Macaca fascicularis: one gene and its partners. The protein of the gene in region 1 binds, or shares a complex with, the protein of each later gene. Links are inferred from orthologs where the notes say so. Each region holds a gene or a part of one and is shown in the gene's direction. Other genes may lie near its edges.

The links.
Region 2: NSMCE4A (region 1) and NSMCE3 share a complex: the UniProt entries of both Homo sapiens proteins name them as parts of the SMC5-SMC6 complex. The link is inferred for Macaca fascicularis from reciprocal best matches to the Homo sapiens genes NSMCE4A and NSMCE3.
Region 3: NSMCE4A (region 1) and NSMCE2 share a complex: the UniProt entries of both Homo sapiens proteins name them as parts of the SMC5-SMC6 complex. The link is inferred for Macaca fascicularis from reciprocal best matches to the Homo sapiens genes NSMCE4A and NSMCE2.
Region 4: NSMCE4A (region 1) and SMC5 share a complex: the UniProt entries of both Homo sapiens proteins name them as parts of the SMC5-SMC6 complex. The link is inferred for Macaca fascicularis from reciprocal best matches to the Homo sapiens genes NSMCE4A and SMC5.

What each region holds. Positions count from the first base shown.
Region 1 is NC_088383.1:130,961,820-130,965,319, reverse strand, and holds part of NSMCE4A (non-structural maintenance of chromosomes element 4 homolog A), read left to right. Parts: intron 1-1,128; coding exon 1,129-1,280; intron 1,281-3,500. UniProt on the Homo sapiens protein: Component of the SMC5-SMC6 complex, a complex involved in DNA double-strand breaks by homologous recombination. The complex may promote sister chromatid homologous recombination by recruiting the SMC1-SMC3 cohesin complex to double-strand breaks.
Region 2 is NC_088381.1:8,207,343-8,210,709, forward strand, and holds NSMCE3 (non-structural maintenance of chromosomes element 3 homolog), read left to right. Parts: upstream 1-1,203; 5' UTR 1,204-1,317; coding exon 1,318-2,217; 3' UTR 2,218-2,867; downstream 2,868-3,367. UniProt on the Homo sapiens protein: Component of the SMC5-SMC6 complex, a complex involved in repair of DNA double-strand breaks by homologous recombination. The complex may promote sister chromatid homologous recombination by recruiting the SMC1-SMC3 cohesin complex to double-strand breaks.
Region 3 is NC_088382.1:134,752,777-134,756,903, forward strand, and holds the start of NSMCE2 (E3 SUMO-protein ligase NSE2), read left to right. Parts: upstream 1-1,327; 5' UTR 1,328-1,445; intron 1,446-4,127. UniProt on the Homo sapiens protein: E3 SUMO-protein ligase component of the SMC5-SMC6 complex, a complex involved in DNA double-strand break repair by homologous recombination. Is not be required for the stability of the complex.
Region 4 is NC_088389.1:100,953,177-100,957,237, forward strand, and holds the start of SMC5 (structural maintenance of chromosomes protein 5), read left to right. Parts: upstream 1-1,261; 5' UTR 1,262-1,364; coding exon 1,365-1,549; intron 1,550-4,061. UniProt on the Homo sapiens protein: Core component of the SMC5-SMC6 complex, a complex involved in repair of DNA double-strand breaks by homologous recombination.

The sequences.
Region 1 (3,500 bases):
CTTTCTTATGTATAACATCAAATATAGACACTGTAAGGGAAGATTGGTGGATCTCTCTGTCAGTTAAACAGACCAAAACTGCCACATCCACCTACAAGGGTGCCGTGGTAGGACAGGCGGCAAGGGAACAGAGAAGAGCAGGCTCTTGTAGTCGTTCTTTAAAGTCTGGTTGCCTTTAATAGGGTTAAGCTCCCCGAGGGTCTTGTGATTATTGTTTATATATGATATTGCCATTATAACTGCATAACTTCTAGGCATTTTACAGTGTAATGTAATAAAAATGGACTTTCATAAGAGTAAATTCAATATAACACATTTTCTGTAAGACAGTTTGAGATGAAAGAATTATTTGACTTCCGTCTACTCTTCCCAGGAAGGGAATTTTAAGATGAGCCATTCTCTCAGTAATGCCGGGCCACTGCTCTCTGGATATACTGCGATACAAGCTGAATAGAGATTTGTAGGACGTTTGCAAAAAATTAAAATCTGAACACCAGCCGAACTTGCTGGTGCTGTCGTGAAGCTTTTGATTTGGGATTTAATTTTATATTTGTATGCTAGTGCAGCTTTACTAATACATGAACTATTGGCGATACAGAAATTCCCAGGGGGCTGAGTTCCGGCGTACCTAAATCACTCTGCCTGCCAGTGGGCTAGAGTAGGGTTTCTCAGCACTGACACTATTGATTGACATTTGGAGCTGGGCATGTCTTTGTTTTGGGGGCCGGTACTGTGCATTGTATGATATTCAGCAGCTTCCGTGGCCTCTACCCAGTAGATGCCAGTAGCATATCAGTTGTGACACCCAAAAATATCTCCAGGTATTGCCAAAAGACCCCTGTGGGCAAGTATACCCAGGTTGAGAACCACTAGTCTAAATCATTTCACTTTCTCACCCAAAGGTTTTAAGTACATTGAGGAATATTTTCTGCCAAAAAGAAGGTAGCTTTGAAAAGAGGACTTTAACTGTAAAATTATCTTTACAATGAGAAATTTAGCCAGCATATTAAGACAGTGAAAGCAGGCTTTGCGTCTGGCCTCTTAAAGGTTGAGTGATGCAGATTATTGGATGTGGACAATGATTGCATGTGGCTTAACTGGGTTTTTTGTTTTCCTTCATTTTTGTAGCTCACACATATGGGTGTAAATCCGCTAGAAGCTGAAGAACTTATCCGTGATGAAGATAGTCCTGATTTTGAATTCATCGTCTATGACTCCTGGAAAATATCAGGCAAAACAGCAGAAAACACCTTTAATAAAACCCATACATTCCACTTTCTGTAAGATTATTTTAAAAATCCAACAGACCAGCTATTTGTGAACCTTAAATTGTTTTTTGTTGTAGGGACAAAGATTATTTGGTATTGTAGAGGTGACAGTCATGATGCCGTTGTTTGGAGACTTGAAACTTTGATATAAAAGTTCATAAACACTACTCCGGGCATGGTGGCTCACGCCTTTAATCCCGGCACTTTGGGAGGTGGATACAGGTAGATCATCTGAGCTCAGGAATTCAAGATCAGCCTGGGCAACATGGCGAGAACCCATCTCTACCAAAAATACAAAAAATTAGCCCGCTGTGGTGGCCCATGCCTGTGGTCCTGGCTACTTGGGAGGCTGAGGTGGGAGGATCACTTGAGCCTGGGAGGCAGAGATTGCAGTGAGCTGAGATGGTGCCACTGCACTCTGGCCTGGGTGACAGAGTGAGACCCTGTCTCAAAAAAAAGAAAAGTCCATAAACTCTAGATGTGGGTGGAACCTTAAAGGATCTCTCATTCTGCTTTAGCAGAAAAGGCCAGAACCTCTTTACCAGTGTTCTCTCCTGGCTCCTTTGCTTCTAGCTCATGAGGCTCTGGGTTTATCATCTTTAAAATCCTTACCATATAGGAGGATGATACCTCCTACTGAGGGTATCTTACAAGTCTCCTAATGTCTAAAATGACATGTATTATAATACCCTGTTGGATGACCACTGACTTGTATTTGAAGATTACTTGTCACTGCCACATAAACTGCCCTGTTCATTTTTTTTTTTTTTTTTTTTTTTTTTTTTTTTTTGAGACGGAGTCTCACGCTGTTGCCCAGGCTAGAGTGCAGTGGCGTGATCTCGGCTCACTGCAAGCTCCGCCTCCTGGGTTCACGCCATTCTCCTGCCTCAGCCTCCTGAGTAGCTGGGACTACAGGCGCCCGCCACCGCGCCCGGCTAATTTTTTGTATTTTTAGTAGAGACGGGGTTTCACTGTGGTTTCGATCTCCTGACCTTGTGATCCGCCCACCTCGGCCTCCCAAAGTGCTGGGATTACAGGCTTGAGCCACCGCGCCCGGCCTTTTTTTTTTTTTTTTTTTTGAGACGGAGTCTCGCTCTGTCGCCCAGGCTGGAGTGCAGTGGCCCGATCTCGGCTCACTGCAAGCTCCGCCTCCCGGGTTCACGCCATTCTCCTGCCTCAGCCTCCCGAGTAGCTGGGACTACAGGCGCCCACAACCGCGCCCGGCTAATTTTTTGTATTTTTAGTAGAGACGGGGTTTCACCGTGGTCTCGATCTCCTGACCTTGTGATCCGCCCGCCTCGGCCTCCCAAAGTGCTGGGATTACAGGCGTGAGCCACCGCGCCCGGCTGCCCTGTTCATTTTTTAGATAGAACTCTGATTTTAAAAAAAGATTTCTTCATATTCGAATGAAGTTGGCTTCTGTCTTAACTTCCTGGCATGGTCCTATGGAACAGCTCTTACTGGCTCTTCTCTAAGAGGACCTTCAAGTATATTGGTTTTGTTGCCCAGTAGATACTTTCTCTAGGGGTAGCCATCTGAGTTGTTCAGTCCTCCTTTAAGTGGTATAGCTCCTGGGCATTTGTCTTTTCTAATTTGTCTTTTTAAAAACCTTTGAGATTGGTAATGGCTCGGGTAGAAGGCCTTGGAGATGCCAAAGTAGTAGTGTGGTGTGGGATCTGGCATCTATTTTTAGTAAGACTTCAGGTAACTCAGGTGCCCAGAGCCATTTGTGTATGTTCTATTTAATAGGATACCGACGAAACTTCTTTATCTTAACGATAAAGTCTAAATCTTTGTTTTTTGCTATCGTACTAAACTCATAAATCCTAGGTTATAAAGATAAAGCCTTAAACTTTATCTCATCATCCAGCCCAATTTCCAGCCACAATGAAGTACTTAAAACTGTGTCTTTGTACTTGCTGTTCTCTTGGCCTCCAATTCCTTTTCATCTTTCCCATTCGGTAAAGTTTGTTTATCCAGCAGGCCCCATCTTGGAAGCCTCCAGCAACTTCTCCAGACAGAGATGTTAGCAGTGTAGGATCAGATTTCCCAACCACGTCACTCCCATGTCTGGGTAGATATTTCTGCCCAGGTGTTCTCACAGCACTTGAGCAGTACTCTCTAAGCACCCAGGATCTACCATGTTACTTTTTTAAAATTTGATTAATTTATTTTTTGATACTGCTCCTTGTGGAGCAGGAGTGTGCCCAGAGTAACCCACCATGTGATGCT
Region 2 (3,367 bases), on another chromosome or scaffold:
TTTAATAAGGTTGTGTTTGATGCTATTATTCAGATAATGTGTTCTAAATTGCTTTCCTTTGAATATATTTGCATTAAAGAGGAACTCGATTTGGTTCTTTGAAGAGTTTATCCACTTTCTGGGTAGCTTTAAAAAGACACAGGGAAATTCAGTTTCTTCTTTGCAAGTCAATAAATAGAGAAGAAACAAATTTGCTAAGATCTGTAGAAGTAATGGCAGCAGATTGCTGATGGTTTGAGTTAATGAAATGACTCATTTTGGCTACTTGAGTTGCACAATTAAAATATACATAGACTGCACACATCATAGATGAGGGATAAATACCCCTGTGTTCTCTTTTCTTTCTCAAAGCTAATATATTATGAATTAAGAAATTTAAGAGATCCACATTATTGCAATTCTTGATCAGTGATGCCCAAAATTAAGTGGTAATCTCTTGAGAGTGCACGTTTGCAGCATTCCTCTTACGCATTTCTGCTAAAATTGTGGCTGTGAGCTGAAGGCAGTTGTTTTCCAAAGGATAAACTCATTTGACCAAGCTAAAACATTTACTTAATATTGACAAATTTTGTGGGGTTTTCTCATAGTTGTCTAGCTAAAGGAGTTTAATGCAGAGAATACACATACGGAAATAGTGAAACCGAAGTCCTGCTTGCGCGGAAAGCCTGCAGCAGACTTTTGTTTTTAACAAACTCCACGGGGCATTAGAGAAAGTAACTGGGGGCAGTGGGTTGGAGGGTATAAAATTGAGCGGAGGGACGAAAACTAAGAGCCCTCTGGGTTTTTTATATCCTTCTACATGTTGTGTAGAAATAAATGCTTTTACTTCCACGGTCGTACCTTCCTCTTCACCTTTTTTTTTTTCTTTCTCACACATTCATCCTGTGAGATCTTTTCATTTACAAATGCTCCCGATTTAGAATTAGAAACTCATAATACCGTCTGTAAAACTTGCCTGAGCCTGTCTGGTCCTGAATTTAGCGACACACTTGTTTAGGAGTTTCGGTTCTCGTTCTCTGCTTGCATGGTTTAGTAAGAACAACACTTCGCTATACTGAAATTCACCGACCAGACCTGCAGGGCTGCACAGAAATCTCGGATGCTTTTGGTACCCCCAGCCCCGCAGCCGCGCAGGCGCACCGCCCAGCCGCCGTGACGCAAGGCGCAGGCTTCATGACGCGGCACGCAGTCTCAGCCGACACTGCGCGCCCCTTCTGGGGCCCCGCCCAGGCAGCGGCCTTAGCGGGTCGCCGACCCGCGATCCCAGCCGCGGCTGCTTGCTTGCCGGAGTGTGCACCGGTACGCGTCGCCGGTGACATGTTGCAAAAACCGAGGAACCGGGGTCGCTCTGGCGGCCAGGCCGAGAGGGACAGCGACTGGAGCCGTGGCGGAAACTCCGGGGCCTCGCGGGCGGGCGAACACGCCCGGGCCCGCAGAGACGGCTTCGCAGAGGAGGCCCCGAGCACTTCCCGGGGGCCGGGCGGCTCGCAGGGGTCGCAGGGCGCCCGCCGGTCCCAGGCCTCCCCCGCCGTGGGCCCCAGGACCCAGAAGCAGCAGGAGCTGAAAGTGTCCGAGCTGGTGCAGTTCTTACTGATTAAGGACCAGAAGAAGATTCCGATCAAGCGGGCCGACATACTGAAGCACGTCATCGGGGACTACAAGGACATCTTCCCCGACCTCCTCAAACGGGCCGCCGAGCGCCTCCAGTACGTCTTCGGTTATAAGCTGGTGGAACTTGAACCCAAGAGCAACACTTACATCCTCATCAACACCCTGGAGCCGGTGGAGGAGGATGCCGAGGTGAGGGGTGACCAAGGCACGCCCACTACGGGCCTCCTGATGATCGTCCTGGGGCTCATCTTTATGAAGGGCAACACCGTCAAGGAGACTGAAGTCTGGGACTTTCTGCGGCGCTTAGGGGTCTACCCCACCAAGAAGCATTTCATTTTCGGAGATCCAAAGAAACTCATTACCGAGGACTTTGTGCGACAACGTTACCTGGAATACCGGCGGATACCCCACACCGACCCCGTGGACTACGAGTTCCAGTGGGGCCCGCGAACCAACCTGGAAACCAGCAAGATGAAAGTTCTTAAGTTTGTGGCCAAAGTCCATAATCAAGACCCCAAGGACTGGCCAGCGCAGTACTGTGAGGCGTTGGCAGATGAGGAGAACAGGGCCAGACCTCAGCCCAGTGGCTCAGCCCCATCCTCTTGAAATCTGAGGTGGATTCAGAGGGACCCCCGGGACAAGGGTCTGAGACCCAAAGGCACAGTGCAGAGGAGCGGGGGAAGGGAGAACGAACCCAGGAAGCGTATTTCTGTAGCGTTTCAATGTGTGTAGCTTTAGGATGTGTTTGCAAAGTTTTGTTCTTTTAATGTTGTGTTATTTGGTTCCAGATTTTCATCTATAAACAAAGGAGCATTTGTTTTGCTTTGATTTTACTTTTTTTGGTATAAAAAATTTTCCTAGCTTAGTAAAACGAATTGGAAAACTTGACTATGATCTGAAACAGATATGCCAGAAGGAACACATAAGTAAGTTGCTTTGGTGCCAAGAAAATAAAAAAGTAGCTATTATCGGGTCTCTTAAGCATCCCAGTTTGTAAGGAAAAATAAAAGTCTTTATAAAATTAAAAATAAAAACGTAATTGCCTATATCCTTATTACCTTAACCTATTTTATTTTTTCTATATTTCCTACATATGTAAGTATTATTCATGGTTCCAAGCAATGAACGTGGTGTATTTTCTCCAAATAGCAATTGTTTATATTCATAATTACTCAGCTGTGTTGCTAAACATGCAGTTCCACTTAGTTTTTTTTACATGCTACTCTAGTTATTACAATAAATACTGTATTTTTGAAGCACTGAAGCATTGTGTGTTTTTTAAATCGTGGGCCATGAGACAATTTCATGACGAAATCAGCGTCTTAAAGTTTTTGCAACATATTGAGGTCAATGTTGTTTTGTAGAAGTTGTTTTACTTTTGTGTGTGTGTGTACAGGATCATGAGGTAAAATATATTTCTACTGTGGATACCAAAAAGGCTTATAAAACAATAGCGTAACCATTAACCATGCCTGCTTGGGAATCAGACTGCCTGGGTTCAGATCCTGGCCCCACCGTCACTAGTATAGGAATTTACGTAGGTTCCTTAGTTTGTATGCAGATGTTTCTTGACCTGTAAAATGGGTTTAGTCCCTGATGTGGAGGAATTTGCTTGTTATTCTTTAATGTTTTTATTTTTTATTCTCGGTCTGGAGCTGCCACTTTTTAAATACAACTTTTCTTTATCTTGTTTTCCAAATGATTCCTAGGAGAGCAATTACTGGTTCAAAAGGTATATTCCGCTAGTCTGACTCTA
Region 3 (4,127 bases), on another chromosome or scaffold:
TGAAATCCAGAGATCCCACTATATTCTCTTATTTTCTTTTACAAGCGCCAGTAACTTCATTTTTAAGAATTTGGCGTGGAACTGTGATTTTCAGTTTGGGAAGTAATCCTAATCAAAAGACATGCTTTCAAGAATGAGGCATGGCATCATTATACCAATTACCCAGCGTGCAGAATAATATTTCTTAAGGAAATCGAATTGTCGTGGACAAACACTGTTTACCCCCTTCAGAGGACAAAAGAAGGTAGGTCTATATTTAGCCTTTCGCAAAACCTCAGTTCCATAAAGGAAGCACTGATCTCCACAAATCCATTATCACAAACAAAATATAATGGTTGTCGGTCAAAATAAATGCAAGCTGCATATGTTTTCCAGAAAAGTTCTGACATGAGGCTTAACCTGAAATCCTGGGAAAGGCAGGTGAAGGACAATTAGAGAAGGTGTCCCTTGTTGTGCGCAAAGACAGGAAAACTTCTCCCTCACTACCCTTCACCTATGTTTGAGGGAGCTCCATGCGCTTGCAATCAGGAGACCCAGTTCTACGACTCTGTGACTTTTTTTCTTTTTCCTGTCCGATCATAGAGGAATCAGGGCCTTGGGAACATTTCCCCCCCCCCCCCCCCCCCGCCAAATGCAAAGGATTTTGGCATTAGCACAGGTGAAGGCATTAAGACGCAGCGAGCAGCAATGACTTGCCCAAACTCACAGCCCATGGCATAACTAGAATGCAAATCCAGGTCCGTCAGGCTGTAAAAGTCCTCACTACTAGCCTTTCAGTTTTCTCAAAAGCAAAGAGAGAAATAACGACGACATCCACACTGCAGTGTTCCCGGAAACTTGGAAGGATGAGATTCGGACCAAGCAGCCAGCTGAACGGTGCTTCCTAAAGCGAGGAAGGAGTGTGCAAAATGAGTTCCCCCTAAGCGGAGACGAAGAGCTGGACTGCAGCCCCCGCCCCAGAAAGCCCCTAAGCCCTCCATCCCGAGTCCCCCGTCCAGGCTGCACGCGACGCTGGAGACCTCCCCAGGGCCAGCACGGCCCAGCGGGGAGGTGAAAGGGGCCATGCAAAAATGGGGCGCGCTCATCCCATCCCCACTCACCTGTCAGCCGGGCCGCGCCAGCGGCGCACGCGCAGGGCAGGAGGTTGCGCGCGGAGTCGGCACCCAGGTTCCACCCCTCCCTCACGGCGGCGGTCCTCTTCTATCCCCAGTCCCGGACCTGGAACGGGTCAGAGCCGGGCTTCCGCCCCTGACTTCCAGGACGGTCACATGACCGAAGCGGCGGTGAGCAGGGAGGGGCATCATGTGACCACTCGCCGGCGACGGATGATGACGCAAGAGCCCGCGCTCACTTTTCAGCTACAGGCGAAGGGGGCTGAGGAAAGGAGGTGGGTACAAGTAGGGAAAGTTGGGGTGCCACCAGACGGAGACAACTCGGACAACCAGGTAGGGAAGAAGCGGGGGACGGCAATGGGGAAGGTGGCGGGAATTGTCGCCTCCCTCAGGGACACTCCACGGGGACCCCGAGCCGGGAATTCGTCGACCTGGATTATGGTTGTGGCCCTTTTCACGCCACAGTAGTGAGTCTGGGACAGTTTACCCTCCTGTCCGAGGCGCCATCTCTCCATCCGTTAGCCACAAGTGTGTAAGGGCAAGATCACGAATTTTTGATCCAAATAGATGTGGTTTGAACTGACTTTAAAAGTAAGGCCACGGGAAGGTCGTTTGAATAAACTCTCTGGACCTCAGTTTCCTCTTCACTTATGTAGATTGCAGTGAGAATTAGCGATAAGGAGAATGAAGTGCCAGGACACCAGTTTATGGCATTCTGTAGGTGACCGAGAAATGATGATGTCTGTTGTTATTTTTGTAACTCGCCAAATCTTTATTGGTCCCCTATTTTGTGTGAAGAACTGCTTTATATGCAATAGAATATGTCAGGGTTCTAGTTTAAGGAGCTTTCAGTGTAAAGAAGCTGCAGACATGTGAGCAAATAGTTGTGATGAGTTTCATAATGGGAGTGTGTTGTGTACATGTGCATGTGATAGGAATAATGGTAGCATGGGGGAGGGAACAAGCAATTGTATGAGAAGGATTCAGAGAGAAGGGTATAGCCTTGCATGCTGAAAAAGGAGAGGCAGCTCTGGCTGACTTGTACAAGGTTCCCGTGGATTTAAAGGAAGTCAGCATATTGTCTATAAATAACATGCAGAGAAAAAACTCAGGAAATGCACAACTTGTTCTAAACTTTCTTGGAGATCATAGGTATTGGGAAGAAAAGATCAGTGTTATTACATGGGAAGGGATCCAAGAGAGATTGATTTAAATCAGTTATTCTCAACTGATGCGCTATTGACATTTTAGGCCAGATAATTTTTTCCTGTGGGGTGGGGGTGAGGGCTGTCCTGTGTATTGTAGGACGTTTGAGAGTATCCCTGGCCTCTGCCCACTAGATGCCAACCATAATGTCTACAGATATTGCTACATGTCCCTTGGGAGAGGGGTAAAATCTTTCTTGGTTGAGAACCACTTAAACCAAGCCATGAGAGATGGTGTCTTAGTCAGTGTGGGCTTCTATAACAAAATGCCATAAACTAGGTAGTTTACGAACAACGGAAATTTATTTCTCACAGTTCTGGAGGCTGGAAAGTCCAAGGTCAGGGTGCCAGCAGATTTAGTGTCTCGCAAGGGCCTGTTTCCTGGTTCATAGGTGGCTTCTTGCTGTGTCCTCACACGGTGGAATGGCAAAGCAGCTCTCTGGAGCATCTTCTAAAAGGGCACTAATTTTATTCATGAAAGTGGGCCTAATCGCCTCCCAAAAGGCCCCACCTCCTCATACCATCACCTTAGGAGTTAGGATTTCAACATATAAATTTTGGGTGACACAAACATTCAGACTTTAGCATATGGGTAAGATGTGGGCAGATAGAAAACTGAAGAAAGAGCCTGGTACGGTGGCTCACACCTGTAATCCCAGCACTTTGGGAGGCCAAGGAGGGCGGATCACTTGAGGTGGGGTGTTTTGAGACTAACCTGGTCAACATAGCGAAACCCTGTCTCTACTAAAAATACAATAAATAAATAAATAAATAAATAAATAAATAAATAAAATAACCAGTGTGTTCTGGCGCACACCTGTAATCCCAGCTACTCAGGAGGCTGAGGCAGGAGAATCCCTTGAACCCAGGAAGCAGAGGTTGAGGTGAGCCGAGATCATGCCACTGCACTCCAGCTTGGACGACAGAGCGAAACTCTGTCTCAAAAAATAAATAAATAAAAAGAAAGAAAACTGAAGAGATGGTTTTCTCATGGTGGGAGCAGGATGAACAAAGTCCTTTTTTCCTTTTTGGAGACAGCGTCTCACTCTTATTGCCCAGGCTAGAGTGCAGTAGCATGATCATAGCTTACTGCAGCCTTGGACTCCTGGACCCAAGGGGTCCTCCCACCTCGGCCTCCCAAGGGGCTAGGACAATAGGTGCAAGCCACCATGTCTGTGTTGTTTGGTTTTTTTTTTTTGAGATGGGGTCTCGCTGTGTTGCCCAGGCTAGTCTTGAGCTCCTGGCCTCAAGCAGTCTTCCTGCCTTGCCCTTTCAAAGTGCTGGGATTATAGGCATGAGCCACCGCGCCCAGCCTGAACAAAGTCTGGAGGTGAGTTCAAGAATATTGAGTATGAAGGGGAGAAGGAAACACGAGAGCTGTGCATCTGACCGAAGCAGTTTATTCATTTATTGATAGTTTCAGAGCACTTGCTGTTTATGAAGCACTGCGAACATCTTGCAAGATAGTTACTAACAAAGTAGAGTTACTGCCAAAGGCTATAATTATATCAAAGAGGATGCTGTTAGAGTCAGAGAAAGGAGTTGTCTTTGACTTGTACTTAGCTGTATTTATTGGGAGGAATTGAGAAAAGTATGTCTATTCCATCTTTCTGCACCATCCATTGTCTTTGCTTTTCAATTCAGTCTGTCTTAATCTTTTCCCTACTCCAGAATTACAGAAAAGCATGGTCATGTTTTCCTTGGTCCTCTGCAAGAGTGAAGTTTCACTCAAGTAATGTGAGTTTTGCATTCAACCAAGTAGTGACAACTACTGTTTGGTATATACTTTCCATTTATACTGGATTGCATT
Region 4 (4,061 bases), on another chromosome or scaffold:
AAACAAATAAGGTCAATGTTCCAAAGTGAAGTTAAGGTTTCATTTACGTAGGCAGAAGCAGAGAAGGTTCAGCAGGAGTACATTTTCAATACAAGACCAAAGCATAAAACACAGCGACTAGATTAGTTATAGATATCTCCATTCCAAGGAGGATAACTATATTAATCTATGAAGAGGGATAGTGATCTGAGGGGGTCTTACCTCTGTCTCTGTTTGGTCTTCCTGATTATTTACAGGAAAAAACAAGGCAGACATTGCAGCTGTACGCCATAGGACTCAGGCCCCGTAGCCACATTCTTCGCAAGGCTCTGAATAATTTCAAGTTCCAACAGCTTTAAGTTGGAATTTTTTAATTTCAGTTGATTCACTTGTTCTTTTCCTGTCTCCCACAACAGAAAATAAGTTCCCAGGGATGCAACCTTGGCAGGCTTCTAAACTGCCACGGCTCCAGTTTCTTGTAGGTTAGACACTCATTATTAGTTGAAGGAAAGATCTAGGCAGGCCTCGGTGCGCCGCCTCCTCTTTAAAGCGAGGGCTTACTAGATGAATGTGAGCAGACGGAAGCAGAACCACCCTGTTAATGAAGGCTGCGCATTCTAGCTCAGGGATTTCTAGAAACCTCGGGGGCGGAAGTTTAACCAGAGAATTAGGAAGCAAGGAGCAGAGAAGCAATGAGGATAACCTGTGCAGTGTAGTCGTTCCACGAGTTTGAGAACGCCTAGCACGATGCCTTCACGGAGCGTCGGGCAGAGTTATTTGAGAGTATTTCTTTTTCGGGGTTTTTGAGACAGGGACCTGATTTGAAGCAACGGGGAAGAAAACCAAGAGGACGAAGAGCCAAGGATGGGCGTGCCCGGGAGCTCTCAGGTGGGCACCTGGAAGGGGTGGGAGCAAGCAGGGCCTAACGTACCCCTGGCCTTGGCGGCCCTGGACGCCCCTGGTGCCCCCCACAGCTGCCTCCCACCACACATGACTGAGGCTCGGGAAGCAATAAAGTGGCTTTCAAAATACTAAATGCAATTGACATCTTTTCCTGAGTGGAAAAAAAACAAAAAAGGATCTGAATGCTGAAATATACAGAGAAGAAACTCCCGTTGCCACGTCCCCCGAGGTCCCCACTCAGTCCCGTCTGCTGCTCCGCCCTTAGTCGGGCCCTAGTTCTGCGAGGCGGAGAGCAGGAGGCGCTGGGTGGGCCCGCTGACGCTCCGGATCTGAACTGAGCAGGCGCGGCGCGAGATCGCGGGAGCGAGCGCGCGGGAGCAGTTCGCGGCAGTTCGCGCGGGAGCCGGGCGCTGGGGCGCTTGGGCGCCTGGGCTGCCGGACGGTGGGAACGGAAGTCGCTGTGGGGCGCTGAGAAAGCCAGGATGGCGACTCCAAGCAAGAAGACGTCAACTCCAAGCCCCCAGGCTTCCAAGAGAGCTCTCCCGAGAGACCCTTCGTCGGAGGTCCCGAGCAAGAGGAAGAATCCGGCCCCGCAGCTGCCGCTGGTGCAGTCGTCCGGGCCTTTCGTGGAGGGCTCTATCGTCCGTATCTCGATGGAGAACTTCCTGTGAGTGGCCGGGAGGCCGCGCCGCGGGTGTGGAGGCGTGCGGTCCAGCAGGCCCCGGGGCGCCGGCTGCGCGCGGGCGTGGGCGTGTGGGTGTGTACCTGGCTTGTGGGTCTGGCCTTGAATTCGTGCCGGGGTTCCCATGAGGATTTTTCTACGAAGGCTGTGGAGATTGACGTGTATGATGTAGATGTGTGCCTTACGTGATGTGGTTTTTAAATTTAGTCCGCCAAGGTTTTCCAAAAGCGTCTTGTAGCAGGTAGTAGTTGTACGAGGGAGTAGGTCTCTGCCCGCTGGGAGTCGCGATCCATAGCGGCCCTGGTCTGTAATTCACAGAAGTATTGTCCCCGGGAATTTACGAGGAGGCAACAGTTAATTCGGCGTGGTGGGGATGCTGTGGCAGATTCTTAGGGTAGGCATTTGCCACAGAGGAGTAGATAAGACGGTAAAGGTTGTTTGGGATGGGAGGTTACAAGTACAAAAAAATTAAACCTTCCTGGCAATTGTTGGATCTTGACCCTTGACCCCTCTAAACCCAGCTTTCTTCCCTGGTTCCTCCCTCTCTCCTTCAGACAACTAGTTATCACTTTAGAATTTAGTAAGTTTTAAATATATCATGTATTTGTCTAGCACCTCACAGTGAATCTGTTCCAAGTCGTCTTTTTTTTTTTTTTTGAGACGGAGTTTCGCTCTTGTCGCCCACGGTGGATGGAGTGCTGTGGCGCTACCTCGGCCCGCTGCAACTTCTGCCTCTCGGTTTCAGGCTCCTGGGTCAGCCTCCCGAGTAGCTGGGACTGTAGGTGCGCGCCACCACGCCCGGCTAATTTTTGTTTTTGAGACGGAATCTCATACTGTCGTCCGGGCTGGAGGATAGTGGCGCAATCTCGGCCCACTGCAACCTCCGCCTCCCAGTTTCAAGCGATTCTCCTGCCTCACCGAGTAGCTGGGATTACAGGCACCCCCCACCACGCCCAGCAATTTTTTTGTTGTTGTTGTTGTATTTTTAGTAGACACGGGGTTTCACCATGCTGACCAGGCTGATCTGGAACTTTTGACTTCAGGGGATCTGCACGCCCCCATGGTGCTGGGATTATAGGCGTGAGCCACCGTGTCCGCCCTGAAGTCTTTTTTAAACTTGCACATAGTGGCATAAGGATAACAGAATTGTATTTTAACAATACTACCTTTTTTGTTTTCAGGCACCTGTTGTGTGCCAGGTACACAGTGCACTCATTCTTTCTTCATAACAACTCTATCTTGATAATTTCCATTGCTGAAAGAAGCTCAGTAGGTTGTTTTGCCCAGTTTTACACAGCTGTTAAGTAGTTGCATTGCTATTTGAATCCAGATCAGGAAAGATAAATGTAATCAAATGAGTTAGATACCATAACAACATATATATCAGGATCCTTCACAAAGGATGAAGTGGTTAGTTTTGTCCACGAGTATGAGAAAGGGCTTTGTAGAGAAGATATGAAAGTCTTTGTTCTTGCTCTGTTGCCCACGCTGGAGCTCAGTGGCATGATCAGGGCTCAGTGAAGCCTGTACCTCCCCTTCTCAAGTGATCCTCCTACCTCAGCCTTTCAGGTAGCTGGGACTATAGGCGCATACCATACCTGGCTAATGTTTTAAAAATTTTTTGTAGAGATGGGGTGTCACCATGTTGCCCAGGCAAGTCTCGAACTTCTGGGCTCAAGCAACTCACCTCGGCCTCCCAAAGTGCTGGGATTACAGGCGTGAGCCACTGCACCCGCCTGAGAAGATAGGAAAGTCTTAAAAGAAGTGAAGAGCATTGAAGACAGAAGGAACGGTCTGAAATAGTTTGGTATATTTAGAAAGTGTCAAGTGTTTTAGTAAGGCAAGAGTATAGGATGTGAGTGAGTATTTGGACAGGGTAAGCAACCATTGAGAGACCTGTATGTTTACTATGCTAAGAAGTTCCAGCAGCATCCTGTAGGCAGCCACGGTGTGTTTTCAACAGGGAATGACATGTGTTTTATGTTATTCTGGAAGCACTGCGGAGGATGATTTAGAAAGGGTGCAAGATTGGAAGCAAAAAGACAATACGAAGGCAAGAGATGATCAGAGTGTGAAGGAATGAGATTTGGCAGGATCCAGCTACAGAATAATTGAGGCATGGGGGAAAGGGAGGAATGCAGCATTTTTCCCAGGTGTTTGCCTTAGCTAATTGGTCAGATGCTATTCAGAAGAGAGAGCAGTTTGAGGAGAATAATAAATGCCTCTTAGATCCTGTGATTTGAAGTTTCCTTTGGAGTATCTAAGAGAGATGTTCTATAGGCAGAATATAAGAGTCTGGAGCTTAGAGGAAAGTATGAACGGATGAGAGATTTGGGAGTCATGCATACAGGTGATTGATGAAGTTGCAGAACTGGTTATGATTGCTCAATAGGAATTATAAATTGAAGGACTAGAAGACCATGTACAGGGTCTTGGGAGAATGCCTGCTTTTAAGGGTGAAAGGAGGAAGGACTCAAAGCCAGAAGGAACTATTCAG